2 linked regions of the Elephas maximus indicus genome follow. The protein of the gene in region 1 interacts with the protein of each later gene in a pairwise test. Links are inferred from orthologs where the notes say so. Each region holds a gene or a part of one and is shown in the gene's direction. Other genes may lie near its edges.

Region 1 (7,797 bases):
CTCTGGTTCATGTGGCCCTTTCTGTCTCTTGGGCTCTTAGTTGTCGTGTGACCTTGGTGTTCTTCATTCTCCTTTGATCCAGGTGGGTTGAGACCAATTGATGCATCTTAGATGGCCGCTTGTTAGCATTTAAGACCCCAGACGCCACATTTCAAAGTGGGATGCAGAATGTTTTCATAATAGAATTATCTTGCCAATTGACTTAGAAGTCCCCTTAAACCATGTTCCCCAAACCCCCGCCCTTGCTCCGCTGACCTTTGAAGCATTCATTTCATCCTGGAAACTTCTTTGCTTTTGGTCCAGTCCAATTGAGCTGACCTTCCATGTATTGAGTGTTGTCCTTCCCTTCACCTAAAGCAGTTCTTATCTACTAATTAATCAGTAAAAAACCCTCTCCCTTCCTTCCTCCCTCCCTCCCCCCCTCATAACCACGAAAGTATGTGTTCTTCTCAGTTTATACTATTTCTGAAGATCTTATAATTGTGATCTTATACAATATTAGTCCTTTTGCCTCTAATTTTGCTCAGCATAATGCCTTCCAGGTTCCTCCATGTTATGAAATGTTTCACAGATTCGTCACTGTTCTTTATCGATGTGTAGTATTCCATTGTGTGAATATACCACAATTTATTTACCCATTCATCTGTTGACGGACACCTTGGTTGTTTCCAGCTTTTTGCTATTGTAAACAGAGCTGCAATAAACATGGGTGTGCATATATCTGTTTGTGTGAAGGCTCTTGTTTCTCTAGGGTATATTCTGAGGAGTGGGATTTCTGGGTTGTATGGTAGTTCTATTTCTAACTGTTTAAGATAACGCCAGATAGATTTCCAAAGTGGTTGTACCATTTTACATTCCCACTAGCAGTGTATAAGAGTTCCAATCTCTCCGCAGCCTCTCCAACATTTATTATTTTGTGTTTTTTGGATTAATGCCAGCCTTGTTGGAGTGAGATGGAATCTCATCGTAGTTTTAATTTGCATTTCTCTAATGGCTAATGATCGAGAGCATTTTCTCATGTATCTGTTAGCTGCCTGTATATCTTCTTTAGTGAAGTGTGTGTTCATATCCTTTGCCCACCTCTTGATTGGGTTGTTTGTCTTTTTGTGGTTGAGTTTTGACAGAGTCATATAGATTTTAGAGATCAGGCACTGGTCGGAGATGTCATAGCTGAAAATTCTTTCTCCCCAGACTGTTTTTTCTCCAGCCTCTGGTTCTCCATTGTGGCCAAGGTTCTCAGAGAAGGCACTAGAACTTGCGGGGTGGGAGTGAGGGGAAAAAGGGAGGGCAGAAAAGCAAAACTTATACCCTCTCGCATTGTGAGCCATAAAGGAACAAGGACATAACACCACAGGTGCCTAGCCTGAGGTCTACACGTCCATTTGTTAGTCTTCCCACAGAAGGCAAGAGCCATACAACAGGACTGACTAGGGCTTGGGACAAGTTATTGATCTCTTTCAAGGGCAGAGTGGAGTTGGAGTGGGGGGAAGTGTCCAGGCTAATGGGAGCAAGGACACATGGAACAGGCCTGGGGGCTGAAGCAGAGCCTCCACCCCAAACCCTGCACTTCCACCCAAGCCCCCCAGCCCCCAGTGCAGCTATAACCTGAGTTCCTTTCTGCCACAGTACAGAGAAGCATCAGCCTGCCACTGATATCAACAGACCTGATTCTTTTCAGAAGAAAAATCCCCTAGAAGAGAACCAGGCTGGATCCCTGAGGGAAGACCCTTGGAGAAGGCAGCCCAAGCGCTGGAATTCTTACAGTTAAAAGTCCCAGAAGAGGAGGAGAGTCCCAAGGACTGCAGGCTACTCCCTGGCAGTGGGGGTTTCCTTCTTCACCCCTGATCTCCTGTAGTCTTAGTTTCAATTCTGCCAGGCAAGGGAGACCATAAGTCTTCTCCTCTGGGGCCCAGGCTGGAGGCTACAAGACTTGCAGAGGACAGGATAAAACCCAGACCCTGCTTATGAGACAGGTCACTCTTCTGTATAGGACAACCAAGGGCGACTTCAAGGAGGATGCCTGGAGGACATGAGAAGGTGAGAAGGAACAGGATGGTGGAAAGAGGCCAAGCATTTGGGAAGTTTCTCATGGCTACTTAGCTACAGCATTTAAGAGCAAGATGGTGTCCACAGAATAGACCTCAGCTGTCTTGCGGGCAAGATCTGGAAAGGTTAGGAGTTCTACTGGAAAAAGAAAGCAGGGTGTACAAGCCACCCTCCCAACCTCACCCAAAATGGAAAGCCTCGGGGCAGTTGGAGTGGAGTTGAGGAGAACAGGTGGCAAGGCTGCTGAGGAGTTGCTGACACTGCTGATCCTCTGTGCGCTGGGGCCGTGACTTCAGGGGGAGAAGCTCCATGTGGGAGTTTTTGAGAATAGGTGCCCGGATGTGGAGCCCTGCCAGGTATTCCTCCTGGTGTAAGCCATTGTGATCCAGCAAAGGCCAGGCACTAGTAGGCGAGGAGCTAAGGCAGGAATGGCATGAAGGGCAGATAAGCAAGAGCTGGCTGTCTTGAGAGGTGAAGAGCAGGGGCCAGTGACCTTCCCCAAGAGATGGCTCTTCATCTAACCATGACTGGTGCCTGGTTTATCTGCTCTGTCTTTTCTTTGCAGTGGGGAGAAAGACAAATGACCACGAAAGCTCTCCTGCCTGCTTCTGTATGATATGTTTGATATTGGGTTGTTTAATTAGGAGCCAACTAAATGTCAAACATATTCTTACAGCAGTTGGCAATTCAGCAGCACACTCTTTTCTACCTCAACCTCTGGGGATCCTGTCTTTTCTATTGAACTTCTCTTCAGGACCCCCTCTGGCATATTAGTGGCTGCAACCCATGAAGATTTCAATCTTAAGCTAGAGGGATGGTGTATGAGTGGGATGAGAGTTGGAATTTCCCCCTTAGTAGATAAGATTTCTCTCTTTACCTCTCCTCTCCTTTCCTTGTATTTTTTCATTCAAGTCCCCCTCCCCACTTATTATCCACTGCTTCCCACCCCTGGGACTCTCTTGTTCCTAATCCATTTCCCTGGCTGGTCTGCACATTAGAGGTCTTTGGTCTCTTGCTTTCCTTCAAGTGTTATCTGACCGTTTATCTATTTATCTCTAGTGACTGCAAGCTCTCAGTTCTCAAGAGTGGACTCCAGCTCTGTCCTATGCCTTGCTGGTCGTTTCAGTTTCTTCATTGCTGGGGCATAGCATTAACACCATCCATCTAGCCTTGACATAATGATTCATTTGAGCCATTTATATTCTTCCCTGTTAGCTCTGGTCACCTTGAACAGTGCCCACCGCTCTCCTGGCATACTCTCAGGTTTTATGGTGCCAGTGTGATCAACTGCCACCTGTCAGCAATGAGGCTCCAAGTGGAAGAATGAACACGCCCTGGAACTAAGCTGGGGAGAATAGAGTTGATGATGATGATTATTTTGACGAGTGGTGGTGGGGGTGGGGATAAAGAGAGGGTAAAGGGTGACGGAAAGAAGAGTAGAAAGCAACAGAGTCACGGGGTGGATTATCCAATAGGCAAGGTAAGCTTACCTTGCCTACCAGATCATCTGGAATGAACAATTTCATTACAGATTAGTTAAGTAAGCACAAGTAAGCCTGTGCTTACTTTGCTTACTGGGTCATCTTATGACTGTCAGTTTAAAAAAAGGCTTTGATTCTGCAGGAAGGTGCTGTGAGGTTGGGACAGAGACAGATGCCAGCCATACCTAGAAGCAGAATCTTCGATGTGGTGAAAAAATGTGAAATTGTTCACTACGGATGATCTGGTAACCTTGTGCTTACTTGTCTATTGGATAACCCTCCCCCGTCCCCCGACCCGAGCACACCCATTGGTCCGTGTGGGTACAAAAGTTCTATTTAAAGATCACTATGGGAAAACGGAGCCTTGCTGGCACAGTGGTTAAGAGTTTGGCTGCTAACCAAAAGGTCAGCAGTTCAAATCCACAAGCCGCTCCTTGGACATCCTATGGGGGAGTTCTACTTTGTCCTATAGGGTTGCTATGAGTCAGAATCGACTCAATGGCAATGGGCTTTTTTTAATGGGAAATCAGCATGATCCTGTCTGGCTCACTCTAACCCTATCCTAGTTTAAGCTCTGAGATGGCCTTCCAGATCTCAACCTACCCTCTTACTCCATCCCTGTGGTTCTTAGCAGGGAGGAATGATGTCTCCCTTCTAATCAGGGACTCCCAAAATAGCAAAGCAATTTGATCTTGGGATCTAGGGGAATTGTTAAGGATCATGAGTGACCTCCCCTCTTCACTGTTGCCCAGGCTCCCTGGATACCAGGAATCAAAAGATGAAACCCAACCAGTGGAATCTGATCACCATCCAACTCAGTCTGGGTGACAGTAAGAGGAAAGCTGAAGGGCAACTGAGACTCTGGATGAAAACTCACGCCATCCTAAAATTGCCAAAGTACCCTTCCCTTTTCTATATCAATGTTTTCTCTTTCCCTCTCCCTGCTCTTGTAAAATACCCATAGAACTGCCTAGAATAAGTGGAAATTTTCAGGGTTGGTGAGAGTCTCCCCTCCTCCACTTTCCATTGTCTAAAGTCAGCCTCAGCTGTTCACAGATATTTCTTTGCCGGTGATGTCAGTCCATCAAAGTGTCTCACCCTGTGTTCCCCCAGGAGAATAACGATGGGGTGGAGAGAGATGGAAGGGCCATATTAGGAATAAGAGGTGGAGCCACAAGCAGAGATAAAGGCTTAAGTGTGGGAAACTTCTAGTCACTCAGGCAGCAGCCCTTCCTTTCTTGACCTAGTCTCCAGTTTCTAGTGCTCACAGGTGAGCCCAACAGCCACTGCTCATGATGGAGGCCATCAAGAAAAAGATGCAGATGCTGAAGTTGGACAAGGAGAATGCTCTGGATCGGGCAGAACAAGCTGAAGCTGAGCAGAAACAGGCAGAAGAAAGAAGTAAACAGGTAGGCACTGCCATGATGTCTTTCACCTCCTGATGAATAAGACTGAGATGGGAGAGAGTTTTCATGGGAAAAGCAGTGACCCCTGGTGCCAGCTCCTTCTTTAGGCAAGAGGGACTTTTCTTCCCAGCTTCCCTGGAGGGGCAGAGGACATCTGCGGTATCTGCCTCAGACTACCTGTGTGACCTCGGGAAAGTCAGTGATCCCCCTCAGAGCCACAGCATGTCTGCTGGATTTAAGTGGGAGGTGGATCATCTTTTGGAAGAGCCCGGAAAAGGCGGAAGGCCTGGCATGCAGCATCTCTTTTCCGTTAAATGGAGTCACAGGTATCTATAACCTTAGATATTGGATGCCAGGGTCTTGGATAAAAACCCTGGCATCCAACCCAACATAGGGTCACAGGCCAAGGCCGAAGCGTAACACTTGGAGCATTAGATTGGAAATGGCTGGGGAAAAAGTATGTCTCTGAGGATGGTAACATAGAGGCTGGGCTCCGGGGCCTAGTAGGGCTCAAGAGCCCAGGGTCCAAGACTGTACTGCTGTGTATATGTATGTGACTCTCTGGGCTCCTACAGCTGGAGGATGAGTTGGCAGCCATGCAGAAGAAGCTGAAAGGGACAGAGGATGAACTGGACAAGTATTCTGAGGCTTTGAAGGATGCCCAGGAGAAGCTGGAGCTGGCTGAGAAGAAGGCAGCTGATGTGAGTATTAGAGTTGGGGATGGGTTTAATCCACACATATAGATCTTGATGTTAATATGTGACTAAATTCCAAACACACTTTGACATATGCATACTTGTGGGTCCACAGACAGACATATGTATATACTCACATACATCTCTGCATCTAACCACATACTGGTATACTCTTGGAACAGCATATATTTTCTTCCTTAAAGAGATGTAGAAGTCTCATCTTTCTGTTGCACTGCCAGCCCAGGAATTTTATTCTTTCCCAAGAACTGGATAAAAGGAGAAGACTCCAAATCCAAGTTGCTATCACTTATCCTACCCTTCCCCCATGACACATTCTTAGCTTTTGTGTCCAAGGCTTGGCATGAAGATATGTGTATTAATAGGGAATCTCTCATCTCCCAACTACCCAACAAAGCCAGCTTGGATTTCACAATGGGACTAAGGAGGTCACATTGACTCTGGGCCTGTATAGGTTTCTTTATCTTGGCCAATTTGGGCATCTGATCTCAAGTAACAGAGATGCCATATGAAGCATTCTCATAGGACATCAGGGAGGTCCTTAGGGTGAAAGACTACAACAGAAACTAAGAAGGAATCTTAGAGGGCAAAAGTATCACCACCAGACCTTACTCTATAACCTTGAGTCAATTACTCAGCTTCTCTAGGGCTGAATTTTCCCATTTGAAAAATGAGATTAAATCTTCTTTCCCACTTCATGTTATCCCCGTTTCACTTAATACTCTCCATTTTCAACCTTGAAGTTTGCCACAAAGATAACTGAGAGACTAGATAGGAAAGTCTTTGGGGAGAAAACTACCATAGGAATCTTAACAGCGACAGAAGAATATCCTAGTGTTGATGGAGATAGAGTTAAAATGCTCAGCAAACTGAGTTAATAGGAAAACAAGAGCATGTCACTTAAAAATCACATTTGGTTTTGGAAAATAGCTAGAAGGAATGAATAAGCCATTCACAAATACTTTTGGATCCTTACACTCAGGCTTTTGCCATCAGGTTTCTATCTCCTGTTTGGCTTTCTATCACTTTCAGGGGCCCTGGGAAATGGTAAGGGTTGAATATATGATGCCAGAGACTAGCGACAGAAAGCAGTAATATACTTTATACGTACGTAGAGTTTCCAAATGTTTAGGCCACTGCAAACTATTAATACCCCATTCTTGGAAAACTGCAAAAAGTATGGATTACTCCAAGGGCTTTGGGCAAGTGCTTGATGGCATGCTGGAGTTGCCCTAGCCTAGGTCTGTGTATGGATGTGTGGATCTCTGGTTCCAAAAAACCGGCATACGGACAGAAGTTTTCACAAACTGGTACAGTAAACTGGCATAGGGATAGAAGTTTTCAGGAATTGGTACAATAAACCAGCGTAGGGAGACTTTTCACAAACTAGCACAATTTCAGGCTAGTAACATTTTTGTGAGATGTTGGGTAATAATTCTCTGGGAAAGTCCTTAGGCTGAAACAGCTAATATGTGCGCTTGAGGGGATGTTTCCAGGGGCAACAAAAAAAAAAGTTTAACCTGAATCTTAGGAAAGGCAGAGTGACATAGAGGCCCTTAACAATATATTAATATCATGGGGAAGATAAGAGAATTTCCTGGGGATGAATTCTGTCCATTCTAATCTATTTTACACACACACACATCATCCCCCACCCAGATATGGTCTTTGTTGCTAGTTGCCATCTAGTCAGCTCTGACTCGTGGTGATCTTACATATAACAGAGGTCTACTTAGTATATTCACTTGAACGAAATGTCTGACATTTATACAGGAATCCGCCAAAAACGTTTCAACATGTAAAATGTGGGTACAAAACTCATTCAACTTCTTCCCCCCTTACTAGCTAGTGCAACAAGTCAATAAGCACCATACACTTATTGGAATGGAAGAGGAAGGTTGTGGGCAGGAGACAAAAGTCTTCTAGGGTAGGTTGAGAAGGCAGCAGGCAGAAAAGGCATCTTTCCTCAAAGCTGGGGTCAGCAAACTAGCAACTGTAGGGTAAATCCAACTGCAGCCTGGTTTTGTAAATAAGGTTTTATTGGAACCCAGCCATGCCCATTCATATACAAATAAATCATGTGTACCGGATGCCTTCTCCCTACAACGGGAGTAACTGCCACAGAGACCTAATGGCCCACAAAGTCAAAAA
Region 2 (7,289 bases), on another chromosome or scaffold:
AACTTAAATAATGGCCTATAAATTTATTATCTCTAAAAATTAGTATATCAGTATTATTAACTCAGGAGTAAATTGCTCACTGGGCAAAAAGAAAATGTGAGGGTTAACATGGATACAAATAAAAATATTTAAACTAGAAAACAACATCACAATTTTTTCACATGCATTTCTCAGTGAACTGATCATAGTGTCTTGGGCAGGCTCCATCTACAGTAAGACAAAACTGCAGCAATATAGCCAACGTGATAGAAGGCATCATGGATACAAACCATATGAAGTTATTCCACCAACTGAATCTTTGCCATTGGAAGAAGAGACATCAGGAAGACCACCGCGGAGACGGTCAGCCAGATCTCTATACCCCTCATGCAGTAGAGCATTGTAGAATGATATGTAGGAATAATTATCTTTTTGAAGTATCATTTTAATTAGCATAGCTGCTCGCTGCTGTTGAGTGGGCTAAAAAAAAAAATTAAGTAGTTTAGCATACAATAATTAACACTTTTGCAACAAAAATTAGTGGAGACCAGTGCAAGTTATGAAATAAATTCTAAAACATTTTAAGAAATCATAGACCACCTCAAGGGTCTTTACCTCAATTTTCACTTTTTCCTCCTCCAATAATGTTAAAACTCCATCACTAATCATGTGATCCATGATATAGGCTGTCTTGATGTCCCTTTCCAGGGCTTCTCTGTGTTGAAGTAAACAATTTCGAGCTTTTGCATCCATCCTCCCTCAAATTTTTCTCTCTCTTCTAAGCTGTCAACCATGAGCTGCAGGCAGAACACCAAAATACATGTAAGGCCAATAAAGATATGAAAAGATGTACAATCTCACTGGTAATCAATAAATGTAAATAAAACAAGATCATTTTCTGTAAAGGTTTTTATAAATGAAACCCAGTGTTTCAAAGCCGTGAAAAAATGGACATTTCTTATGGGTATTCTCAGAGTACAAAATTAATGCAACTTTTCTGGATGGCAAGATGGTAAGATATAGAACTGTTTAAAATAAGCATTCTTTTTACTCTTCCTAACAATTTACCTCAAGTACCAAAAAACCAAATCCACTGCCGTCGAGTCGATTCCCATAGGACCGAGCAGAACTGCCACATAGGGTTTCCAAAGCTGTAATATTGATGAAAACAGACCGCCACATCTCTGTCCCACAAAGCAGCTGGTGGGTTCGAACCGCTGACCTTTTAGTTAGCGGCCAAGTATTTAACCACTGTACCACCAGGGCTCCTTTTTTACCTCAAGTAGAAATGTACATATATATGCAAAAATACCCTTTATTTAACAGAAAGTGTTTAGGTGGGAAAAAGATGAAAACAATCTAAATGTCCATCATTCTGAATACGGATGAAAAAAACCAGGGTACAAACATCAAATGGAATATTACACAGCTATTTAAAATAACACAAATGTCTATATACTGACACGGAAAGATGTTCATAACACATTGCTGAGTAAAAACATAGAAATATGTTCTTATATATAACACAAAATGTTTGTATCACATAAACATGGGGGAGATGTTCAGAAGTTTGTTCATCAAAACGTGTGGGTTATTCTGAGTGAAATAAGTCAATCACAGAAGGACAAATATTATATGACCTCACTTATATTAAAAAACAAGAGACAAAAAAACAAGAGACCAAAGTTTATTAATTACCAAGGGCAGGAGGGAGGGAAAAAGAGGGGCAGTTGCTTGCTCATGGAGAAGCCCAGGCGACCCAGTGTTTAAGCACTAACTGAAAGGTTGGCAGCATCTTCCAGGGACAAAGACATGGCAGTCTGCCTCTGTAAAGATTCACCAAAATGAAACCCAATGCCATTGAGTCAATTCCAACAGCCTTGGAAACCCACAGGGCAGTTGTACTCTGTCCTATAGGATTGACTCAACAGCAATGGGTTTGGTTTTGGTTTATATAGGATCAAATTGATAACTACTGCAAAGTTATATAGGAAACTTACGGGGCAGTGAGTTTATCCTAATGGAGAGAAACAACTCAGAAAAGGAGGGTGAGAATGGTTACAGAACTCAAAGAATATAATCAATGTCACCGAATTGTACACATAGGAACTGTTGAATTGGTGTATGTTTTGCTCTGTATATTCTCAACAACAACAAAAAAAATTCTTTTAAGTGTTATTTCCAAGGAGCAGGATTTGGGTTTTTTTTTTTTAATATTAGTTTTTTTCAATACACATTATATTGTATCAGTTTTACTATAAAACCACTCTTTATAGATTGAAATTTAATAAAATAGCAATCATATGAAGTTCTAATGTTTCAAAATTTCTCATTTTCTTTATCCAGAATAAAGTTTTGTTGGTATTGAGTATACACACTGAAGGTGTGTGTTAGCTGTAGGTCTTCAGCTGTAAACACATTTCTCACTTGTTCACTCCACTGAAGTTTCATCTAAGCCTTTAAGTATGACAAAGTAACAGGAAATAACTTCTGATGTCATTTCTTAGATTAAGAGGACACAAAGAAAGAATATTCTCTACAATAAAACAAGTTTCTACCAACTTTATTTCAAATATAACTCAAATTTTTCCACGGGTATAAAACCCAAATCAGAACGCTTTCAAGTTTTTAAAACAAACACAACTACATCCAGTGTATTACACTGAAAGTGTCTAAATGGGTTTGTTAAATAAATTTATTCATTCGATAAACATTTGCGCCGCTACTATTTGCCAGGCACTGAGAATACAGAGGCGATTAACTCATATTCCTGAATAAATCCACAATCCAGTCTAAGAAAAATAAAGAGACAATTAGAATGTGATGTAATACACAAATAAAATAGAGTTAAGCAAAAATTATTTAACGCTCAGAAGAGGGATAATAACCATAAGCTTTTTTTTTTTCAACAATGACCGGAATTTTTTTTTTTTAAAGTCATTAAATGTGGCACTTGCAAAAATATGGTAATGGAAGCATTTGCCTACACAAAAAAAAAAAAAAAAAAAATTTTGTCACGTTTCAGAAACGCCCAGTACTACCATGAAATTAACTGATAAAAGAAAAAATTATGATTAGAATCAAGGATATCATATTTTTAAAATATTAATAATGTTTTTATTCGCCTAATTTAAACATAAACGTTCCTCGATTAGACAAAAGTGAACTTTTAGGTTAGGTCCAATTGCTAAGAAATAGACACTCTTTGTCAATCTAAAACTAATTTCCAATTTTGCCCATCCTTATTAACCTTAAATACGTAAACTGTAAAACACGTTTTTAAACTCTTCACAAACTGAAGTATTTTGAACAAATTCTCAATTTGTAAATTTTGTAACACACCAAGAAGTAAAGCCAAAACTCTTCACAGGAATAAAATTGAAACCTTAACAGTTCACTGCTTCCTCATTAGATAATTTCCTAATAACGGCAGCAAAACGGTTACCAAATATTCCATATTCCCGAATCCTCCGTCTCTGAAATCTGCTACCGATCCTCCAAAGAATCTGGCTCAGGGCGAAAAGCCGTCAGGCACTTACCCAAACCTCGGTGCCAAGGGCTCAATGGGACCAGCAGCCCCGCGGGGGCAGGCCGGCCAGGGTTAAAGGTAGCTGGGGCCTCCGACGAGGAACTTCTCAACGTCCTAGCACCTCGGGCCAGGCCTCACAGGTGCCTCACCTGCGCCTCCGCAGCCCGGGGCGCCTGAAGACCCTGGGGGACTCGAGATGCCCGGAAGCGGGCGTCACCTCCGCCGCCGGACCTCACAGCCCCAGGGCGCCGAGGTGAGGCCCGGCCCGCGGGCCGCTCTCCCGGCGGATCCCGCCCCAGGACACAAAGGGAAAAGGGCCACTTGGGGATGTCGCTCCCTCGTTCCGGTGGTAGCTGCACCCCGGGGGGAGCCGGCGACACTCCGGACGCCGCTGCGACCCTTTCACGTCCTCGCTGGTCCCTGAGGGCCCCGGTGCCTCCCCTCCCGCTCCCTCAATCTTTCTACCCAGAGATAAAGCATCCCAGCCACTCGTTTTCGCCTCCAGTCGGCTACAGTACCGCTGAGCAATCAAAACCCGCCCGGCCCGCCCAGTCTGGACAGCGCGCGCCCGCGCACGCAAATAAACACCCCCGGAGCCCCTTGGGGAGGACGCCGCCGCGCGCGCTCCCGCAGAGAAGAGCCCGCCCAGTCAGGACAGCGCGCGCCCGCGCACGCAAATAAACACCCCCGGAGCCCCTTGGGGAGGACGCCGCCGCGCGCGCTCCCGCAGAGAAGAGCCCGCCCCCCGCTTGGGGGGCGTGGCTAAGCCACACGGGCGCGCGGGGCTCCCAGAAGGGAAGGCTGAGGCGGCGGCGGCGCGCTCTAAGTGGCGCGCGCGCGACCTGGCCGCGCCCCCTCGGATCTCGGAGGCTTACACCCGCCCGGGAGCTTCGATTTCCTCACTTTTGGGGCAGTTACAAGACGGAAGGCGGAAGTGGGGGGTCGCTGGACGCCCCACCCGAAGACCGGCTGCTGGGAGATGCTGTGAAGCGGCAAGTGCATCCCAGAAAGCGAGAGGGGCTGGCTCGTGGGCGGTGCCACGTCTGGGAGGGGGCGCCGTCTCCGCCCCCGCTTCGGGAGGAGGCCGAAGCGGCCACGTCCATTCCCCCGGGGTGAAGAAGCGGCCCCACCTCGGGCTTGTACTCCTCACGGCCTCCAAACATGTCCGAGGTGAAGAGCCGGAAGAAGTCAGCGCCCAAGGCAGCGCCCGCGGAGCCCGGGAAGCGGAGCGAGGGCGGGAAGAGCCCCGAGGCCCGGGGCAGTGGAGGCAGGGGCTGGGCGGACCCCCGGACGGGCCTGAGCCTGCTGTCGCTGGGGACATGCCTGGGCCTCGCCTGGTAAGTGGACGCGAGACATGGGGGAGCCGGCCGCGCAGCTGCCCGCGTCCTGCGTCCTGCCTCCTGTGGTCGCTCCGCTCTTTGGGATCACGTCCTTGCCCCGGCCCCAGCCGGCTCAGCGCCCCGCTAACCTTCAACCTCCAGATTGTTCCTCTGTCTCTAGTTTCTTTTCCTCCTTTTTTGTAATTTTCCTTTGTACTGGTAGCATGTTCTCTACCGCTTAATTGGAGTTGAGGCTAAGGTTTAGGAACATTTCAGCCATTTCTTAAGAGATGGCAGATGATTCCAAACTTTATAAATTAAAACGTCTACTACACGTCGGAAGCTTTTGCGTTTTTCTAAACCGTTACTTCCTATCCCATTGCATTTGTCCAGGACAGTCCCCTCTTCCTCCCTCTCCCCACCGTAAATGTCTAATGGAAAAGTTTGCAACTTTAAAAAGAACTCATTGTGGTTTCAAAGCAACAGACGTTGAAGATAATGTCAAAGTTTGGAGGATTTCCCATTTTTTGAAGACTATGTATTATGAGCTTAGAGTCTTTTCCTAAGTTACAGATTGAACTCTAATTACTGTAAAGGTACAAAAGTACAGTAGTTGTGTTCACTTGAAACTAAGCATTTATAGTTTTTAAACCAAATAAATAGTGACGTATTGATGCCATAGGGAAAACGAATGTAGAAATAACCTTAAAACCACCTTCCTGATTTTATTTTCTCCAGTCATTTTCTTTAAAAAGAGGGGAAAAAAACCTATTTCATTTTAGTAACAATACTGACACTTTAAATTAGAAAATCCCTCTATTTTTCACCACAATGTTAAAATATTTAGAAGATCGTTTTTTAACAATCCTGGAGTCCCTGCGTGGTGCATCCGATTAAGAGCTTATGAACTAACCAAAAGGGTGGTGCTTCTAACCCATCCAGAGGCACTGGGAAGAAAGACCTGGTTTCGAGAAACGTCACAACCATAGAAAAAACTCTACGGAGAACAGTTATACTCTGCAACACGTGGGGTCCCCATGAGTCAGAACAAACATGATGGCACCTGGTTTTGTTTATTTTTGTTTGTTATTTATTAAAAATCTCAGAGCAGTAAAGAAGGGTCCCCGGACATCCTCTAGCCTAGAACATTTGTGATGCTAGTATATTTCTAATTGTACTTCACTGATAACTTATCTGAGAGTTGTTTATTTTTCACCCAAGTTAGTAGAAGATCTATTACAATAAAGTGAAAAGTTGATTATTAGATGTTCTTTTCCAAAAAAGATTTAATGTTTCATTTTACTAATGTGGTTTTTTTGTTTAGGTGATATTTTTTATCTGGAAAGAATAAATGTACTGAATTTACTGTTTTAGGTAAACTGCTCTTATGCCTAAAAATGCATGTCCTTTTTAGAAAATAAAAAACCCTTGTTGGGGAAGTTATTCAGTAATAGAATTTAGCAAAATAAAAGATACATTGCTTCACTTGGGAACATAATACAACTGGTTTTAGTTATGAAATATATTAGTTTAATTCTCATTAATTAGCCAAAGTTTCATATTCACATGAGATAATAAAATGATCAGCTTTTCAGTATTTAGTTATTGTCCTGGAAAAAAGCTCCAATAGGAAACTAAATTTTAAGGGGAAAAAAGTGTCGGAAGACCGATGCTAAAGCTCAGGAATTTACTGTTAGTGTCTGCAATAAAAACAAACATGTTCCATTCAATAAAAAGAAAAAAAAATTTTTTTTTTTTTTTAGGGAGATTTTATTTGAACTGTGTCATTGCAAAATAATAAAACAATGGTGAATCAAATTATTTCTGTGGCATATTCTATGATTGTTTATGAAAATAGTTGGCTTTGTTAATTGTCCTAGTGAAATCTTTACCACAAGAGTTGAAGTATATATACTTTAGTCATTTTTTATCGTAAATGATTTATCCACGATAAATTCAGGAATAACATTTTATCCTGGTAAAACATTTGCAAGCATTTCCCAAATAAAAGACATGTTGGCATCTCTTAAAGCATGTAAAAGCTTTACCACTTCAAGACATACTTCTGCATCTAAAAGTTGGCCCATCAAGTCTTTATTGAAAGCTTACTGTACTGACATTGTTCTGGTTACGATACAACAGTGAATAATAATGTTTGCCCGTGTACTCTTAAATGCAGCTTATCCATCCTTTGTCTAATTAAGTTGGGAAAAATCTGAACCAATTCATGGCCCAAGAAGGATTTCAAGGCATGACATTGTATAATTGTTTTCAGACCTTGTCTTAGTTAACTAAATGCTGCTGTAACAGAAGTATCACAGGTAGGTAGCTTTAAAGAACAGAAATTTATTTTCTCATAGTTTAGAAGGCTGGAAGTGGGAATTCAGGACATGGCTGTAGTGGGAGGCCCTCTCTTGTGTATTTCAGCTTGCAAGCACAATCCTTGTCTGTCTCCATCACCT

The links.
Region 2: the proteins of TPM3 (region 1) and IKBIP interact in a two-hybrid assay, tested with the Homo sapiens proteins (2 studies listed by BioGRID). The two-hybrid records come from large-scale screens. The link is inferred for Elephas maximus indicus from reciprocal best matches to the Homo sapiens genes TPM3 and IKBIP.

What each region holds. Positions count from the first base shown.
Region 1 is NC_064821.1:191,974,338-191,982,134, reverse strand, and holds the start of TPM3 (tropomyosin alpha-3 chain), read left to right. Parts: upstream 1-4,761; 5' UTR 4,762-4,819; coding exon 4,820-4,936; intron 4,937-5,508; coding exon 5,509-5,634; intron 5,635-7,797. UniProt on the Homo sapiens protein: Binds to actin filaments in muscle and non-muscle cells. Plays a central role, in association with the troponin complex, in the calcium dependent regulation of vertebrate striated muscle contraction.
Region 2 is NC_064822.1:164,576,963-164,584,251, reverse strand, and holds the start of IKBIP (inhibitor of nuclear factor kappa-B kinase-interacting protein), read left to right. Parts: upstream 1-4,269; 5' UTR 4,270-4,669; coding exon 4,670-4,845; intron 4,846-7,289. Other genes in the region: APAF1 (apoptotic protease-activating factor 1), read right to left, coding at 270-459, 595-732. UniProt on the Homo sapiens protein: Target of p53/TP53 with pro-apoptotic function.